2 linked regions of the Drosophila melanogaster genome follow. The protein of the gene in region 1 interacts with the protein of each later gene in a pairwise test. Each region holds a gene or a part of one and is shown on either strand. Other genes may lie near its edges.

Evidence for each region.
Region 2: the proteins of CG46298 (region 1) and CG16978 interact in a two-hybrid assay, tested with the Drosophila melanogaster proteins (one large-scale study listed by BioGRID).

Annotation. Positions count from the first base shown.
Region 1 is NT_033778.4:10,351,495-10,355,061, forward strand, and holds CG46298 (uncharacterized protein), read left to right. Parts: upstream 1-1,873; 5' UTR 1,874-2,021; coding exon 2,022-2,411; 3' UTR 2,412-2,542; exon of another isoform or gene 2,543-2,611; 3' UTR 2,612-2,895; downstream 2,896-3,567. Other genes in the region: CG46305 (uncharacterized protein), read right to left, coding at 160-231; CG43172 (uncharacterized protein), read right to left, coding at 240-242, 299-364; CG43200 (uncharacterized protein), read right to left, coding at 572-637; CG43178 (uncharacterized protein), read right to left, coding at 1,039-1,104; CG43171 (uncharacterized protein), read right to left, coding at 1,262-1,333; CG43201 (uncharacterized protein), read right to left, coding at 1,441-1,512; CG12902 (uncharacterized protein), read right to left, coding at 3,544-3,567.
Region 2 is NT_033779.5:13,142,395-13,145,214, forward strand, and holds CG16978 (uncharacterized protein), read right to left. Parts: upstream 1,229-2,820; 5' UTR 1,204-1,228; coding exon 913-1,203; 3' UTR 820-912; downstream 1-819. Other genes in the region: CG9928 (uncharacterized protein), read right to left, coding at 151-471.

The sequences.
Region 1 (3,567 bases):
ATTACCTGGAACAGAGAAAAGAAACAGCAATTAGGCTTAGTAAACAACAATACAGTATGATTGTGACAAATTTCTTTATTCCAAATTCATTTTAAATATAGTTCTCGGGACATCTGGTTTTCGATAAAAGGTCTTAATTTATCCGTGGGTTCCTCCTATTCAGGGTTCACAACGGCGGCATACGAACATGCCAAAAACCATGCCCATCCCAAAGCATATTACATAGGACATGATTGTGTTTACTAAGGAAGGGAATTTGAATATCACAAGATAACGAATGGAATTTACAGAGACTTACGCGGGTATTCTTGGCGATGAGGAAACCAACGATGCCACCAACAACGAATGTTATAAACCGCTGCATATTTTAATGAAACTTGAATTCCCGAGATATTAACGGAAAATTTGTCTTATTTAAGAGCATACAAAACGTACACTTCGTTCTGACTGTCGATGGGAAACTGATTACTTTAATTTGAAGCACATTATTATAATGGAAAAAACCAAGCGTACTTGATTCTATTGTAATTTACCTTCATAATTTTGCTGAAAGAATTTTCTAAAGCGGCTCCTATGTATTCTGCGATATAAGATAACCCACAACGCAGCCAATAATAAAGATTAGAATCCATTCCATTTCCGCCGATAACTTTAATTTTAGGTGTTCGAGCGACCTAAATAGTTCAAAACGAATACGTTATGAGCTGACTTTACTAGAAAAGCCAACTTATTTGATACGGTAATGAATAAGTATTCATGTTTAGCAATGCTTACGAAAATATTGATTACCTTATTGATTAACTTAATGGTCATTGAGAAAATCAATCCCAATTTCCAGTCCCTTTTCTGCCTGCTATGGCACTGAGCTTGCTGCATGCTACATCACTAGCTGTACTGCTTGCAAATCTTCCATTCTCAAGCAATTCTCCAAAAATATAATGAATACGAAAGTTTAAATTTTATTTATTGTTCATTTTAATATATGCAATGTTCCTCATAATTGATTTAAGTTATAATTTTCTTTTTGGGAGCTTAGGCTTAGCACTTTCGGCAGCTCATCATTCCGATAATCACGCCCAAGGCGAAGGATATAACGTGCGTCATTTTGATTTTTTCTTAGGTTTCGAAAGTAAGAAAATGATTTCAAGCGCTTGATACCAAATGTTATCTTCCCAATCAAAATCCAGTCCAGTCGGGATTTTGAATTTCAGGATGGCATAAGATTTCAGGCGAACTTTACCCAAAGATTTCTTGCCTATCCTCAGGTATTCTTGGCCACGACGTATCCCACCAAACAGCCAGCTAGAAATGTAATTACCCAATCTACATCCATTTTATAAAACGAAAGTAGTGGGTTTGGAACTTGTAAAGCCTAAAATAAACTAAAATTGAGTGGTTTGAAAAAGCCTACCACAAATGCAAAGGAGCTCTTACCTTTTTCTAATTATGCTTGCCTATCAAATACCCCACAATACAGCCTACAATAAAAGTGATGAACCACGAGTTATCCATAATTTTCAGCCCTAAAGTATCAGTACTTTTTGTTAGGTCTTTTTGAAAAAATTGTTAATTTAGAATTTTGCACTTTAAAGCGACAATACTATCAATGAAATAGAGACTAAGGAGTTTGATTTTAATTTTAGAAAAATGCATTTTACATAACGTTTTGTTTTTGGCTTTGTTTTTCAGATGTATTAGAAAAAAGGATTGTGACTTTAGCCTAGACATTATAAAGAAGAAGATAGGATGCTTAAAGAAGGATCCATTTTGAAAGGATTGCGGTCGAAGAAAGTACTGGTGTAATCTTAAACCTTAGGCATAATGAGTGTTAGGTTTTATCAAGTAGTTTACGAAATAAACGTCAAATACTTAACTCACATCCAAAGGCAACACAGGCCCCACTGTTCTAAATTTCCCATTCGGCTAACATCATTTTTCTGATTTTTTTTTTGGCGTAAAATTAACACGTTATTAGAGGGACCCTGTGATTGCGCGGACATCTAATCCATAATCCTTTGAAGATGTGCGACAAGCCCGCCTGCCCCCCGCCTCCGCGATGCTGTCCTCCGCCACCGCCTCCCTGTCGCCCGCCGCCCACCTTGTGGCAGAAATTGAACTGCGTTCCGTGCAACCGTTTTGTGTTCTTCATGATCGGGGCGGGCATCGGATTATTCTGGGACCATATGAAGAAGGAGGCCCAGAAGGCGGCCGAGGAGGCCGCGAAATCGCCCAAGGAGAAGGAGAAGGAGGCCAAGGAGCGCGAGAAGAAGCAGAAGGAAAAAGAGAAGGCCGAAAAGGAGAAGGCGGAGAAGGAGAAGAAGGAGAGGGAGAAGAAGGAGAAGGAAAAGAAGGAGAAGGAAAAGAAGGAGAAGGAGGCCAAGGGCAAAGAGAAGGGCAAGGAGGGCAAGTAACGACTATAGACCCCCAAACGGACATGTCAAGGAGCAGGATGTTTTCCCCCAAAATTCTCATCGAATCCATATCGTTTCTAAACTTCAAAATTTTCAAGTGCATTATATGGCATACCTAACGATAACTATTGGTCAGTCCATTGCCGCGTTGATGGAAGGCTTCTTTATTTACTATCTAGTGTCCACCCTTATAATTCCAGATCAAGTAACAAGATCGGATGGGATATTTAACTGGAGAGAGGAAATGCCTTTGCGAAATTTGGATAACCATATCAGGCTTAAAATTATACATCACCCGAAAATTGAAATTTACATTTTGGGTTCGTGATGATTTTGAGATATGATCATGATCTATGTTCTTACCGCTAAGGCTTTCTAATACGTTGATATTCTATTAAAAATTGTACAATGAATACACACCAAATGTATTGCCCTCTGCAAGGACCCAAAATTAGTAAATTTATCTAAAGTTATTCAACAAAAATTTGAGAATATTTGTGGTTGGTCAATCAGACTTTAATTATTATACAAAGCATAAGATTGCAATTTTTAATTGTAATAGGCACTTAGTTATCGGTAAATTCGATGTTCATTTTCATAACTCGTTACTCGTAGTTTCGTTTAAAAGAAAAAGAATTAGAACGCGTTTCTTGATCAAGATCAATAAGGAAGTCGATCAGGTGCTCTGCAAATTTTGTTACAGGACGATTAATGAAATAATCAAATCATGTCACTAAAGTACTATTTACAAACATTTAGCGAACAATTGCTCCCACAGATTTGAATAATGAGCCCATATTAAAAACACAGTAAGTCTTGTACAGCACCAATTTTATAGCATTTTCAACAGAGGAATATATAATAGAGAATAGATCAATCGAATAAACCTGTATTAAATGTGGCAGTTAATTGTTCGATTGACAAATTGCTCTTTAGATAAATTTATCGACTGAGAAATTTCCTCTCCATTCCATTCATCGGCGGACAAACTTATCGAATGGCATTTTGTCTTCCCTGGCTAACGCTGCAAACGGTTGGGTAACTTCATGGGTGATGATGAGTCCAGGTTCAATTAGCTAGTGCCAGGCTTGGATGATTGATATTACCGCCGGGCATGGCAGATCGGTCAGTCCTACTTCTTGGCCTTGCCTTCGTC
Region 2 (2,820 bases), on another chromosome or scaffold:
TCAAGGCCCATTGGATTTGTTAGATAAGATCAGTTCATAAAATAATAAATACGTTTGTTAAGTAATAAAATCTAAAGCATTTTATAATGCTTATTTCTTAATCTTTTAAAAATTCTTTTATTTAAATTGAGTATTTTAACATCGTAACATTTATCCTATGTGTATAAACTGGAATCCGCGAGCGTCTTCCTTTGAGTCTCCTGCGGATCTATCGGTATCGAATCCAGAATTCCTCACCGCATCGTTGCCCCAATTATTTCTATCATTGCCACTGTTATCCAACGATTCCAGTAGCTTCAGAGTCCTATCGTCATCAGAACTGTGAACACTATCGCTCCAGTCCAAGTTGCCACCTGAAGATCGTGTTCTTCCTCCTTCGCCACCGAGGTTTATATTCTGAAATATACCCGATGCACCGATCGCGGTATAGATTAATCCAAACAGCACCAGCAGTCGGAGAATGGATTGCATTTTTCTTTCGATTAGCTCTGGCTACAGTTGACTGAATGTCAGTCGGCTCTTGAGCTGGGCTTTTATAGCCTTGCCCTGGGTTATCAGCAGTTCTAAGTGGTTGGTTTAAAGGTGATATGTATACTTTTAGACAGAGGTGAGTGCGGGAAATTCCAGCTTAACAGCAACACAGCTTACCACAAGCTTAATTGATATACTAAACGAGCTATTAAATTCAATCTATGACTAGTATTTAATGCGTACTTAAAATCGAAATTGCGGAGTAGGCAACATTCATTATCAAAAAATGAAGATCTCTTGATTCTCTCTTGATTGATTTCATTTTAAAATTTCTAAAAACTTTCTTTTATTTCCCTTAATAATTATTATTGAAGAACTAGATTATTTACAGACAATAGGATAGCATGACTTAGCATTACAGCACTACTAAATAATTCCATATTAAGTAGCCGGTTCGGTGGTAATATCCATAAAATCCAAAGTCGTCTCATCGTCATCAAGACTTGGATAGTCAGTTGAGTTCTCATGAGCTGCATCGTTCTCCTGCCAGCGTCTGATCAGCTCGTCCATTGCATTCATGAACTCTTCGGCACTGTTGTATCCACTGCCAGATTCCTCCAAAGCATCATTGGTACCTTCCGGATCTTCAATAAGGTCGTGCGGATGGCCGGCAATTAGAGCAGCACAAATGATTCCGAATAGGAGAAGCAATGATATGATGCGGCTCATCATGCTGATCAATGCACCGCCGGCAACTGCATAGCCAGATGCAATTTCTTTCGTTTTTATATGGATCGTGTCGGTCAGTAATAAGTTCAATGGAATTCTGGAAAATCCAGTCTGGGCTAAGCCCAAGTGGCAAGCTGCTTCGATTTCCTCATTCATATTTATGCGTTGGGCGGTACTAGAGTCCCCTCTGAATCATCGCAGACCCAGCAAGAGCAAGCATTGCGCATACGACACGTTGCCACTTGCGGATCAACAGTCATGCAAATAAGTCTATGATTAATTCCAAATAATTGCTATGTCTGTTGAGAAAATTCTCGGCCATGCCAATCATCTGTCAGTTACTAGAGTTGTGTTAGTTAGCTGGGTAGTCAGAAAATGTACTCTAAATAAGGGATTATAAACTTAGCAAAGCGACTGTATTTCATCTTTCCTTGTAGGCCGATGTGAGTGCTGCCGGCAACCCTTAAATGACTTGGCTGCCAGCATCGAGCACTTTACTCCGCTTCGTTGCCTCAATCCTTCGTTGGCTCCTCCGGCACTTTATTCAATTTTCCAAAGCGCGCGCACTCAGCTGCCAGTACAACCTCACTTTGCCACCCCAAAAGACGGGAGCCCATCCACGAAAACCTGTGGTAAAAACATGCAATCTACTCACGAGGCTAATGCCCTTTTATGGCATTGGAGTGTGCCGCATCAGCAAAACGGTGCTGAATCGTTGCTGCTGTAGCTGCAGCATTCAACCATCTAACCACCATGCGAACAACACCATTAGATGGGCCACCAGACTCGATTCACGGGGGCTGCAGCTCATTATCCTCCGGGGAAGCAGACGCCCGCCCATTCACCGAATTGCTGGTGGACTTGTCTGCAAATATGTCGCTCATTTGCATCGCCATCATTGGAGTCTAAGACTGCGCCATTGAAATCAAAGTAAGCTGTTACACGGATCGTTTTTAGTCATTTCTAAAACGTTTCAGAAAATTCTTTATATAATATAAAAACTCTGCTGGCAACTGAAATAATAACCACAAATATGTTTTTAATTATTTTAATATCCTCAACTTCAATTCTATAATTAATGTATATTTTAAAAAATTTCAAACTTTTTCTGATGCTTTTGTATATTATGTCGACTTGCTAGCAAATGTCAGTCATTTAAAAATCGCCGCATACCAGCGGCGCAACAAATCAAAGTTGGTTTTGAGTTTTGTTTAGTGGTTTTTAAGCCGACATGAATACCCACTTCTAGGTGTATAGAACCTTAGCAAGTGCCATTAAAAAGATACAACTGAAATAGCCCAGGCACTCCGGCATAAAAGTACGACAGTCAGTCAAATTAACATTTCAGTCACACAATGACCTTCACCTAGAAGCCATCAAAGCGTACCCAAACGACGGCCCAGCCCTAGCCCCAAATCCCCTGGCTTCACCGGAGTCCAAAGCCAAAACCAACTTCAACGCAACGCGACCAAATAACATAAAAACCAAAGTCAATCAAAAAAAAGAGGAGGAAAATAAATATTTTTCAGCCAATGTCTAAATACCCTTTTCGAAGCTTCAATGATCAATATCATTGATAATACTGAAGTTGTAAAAATAACTCGATTTTAATTATGACCA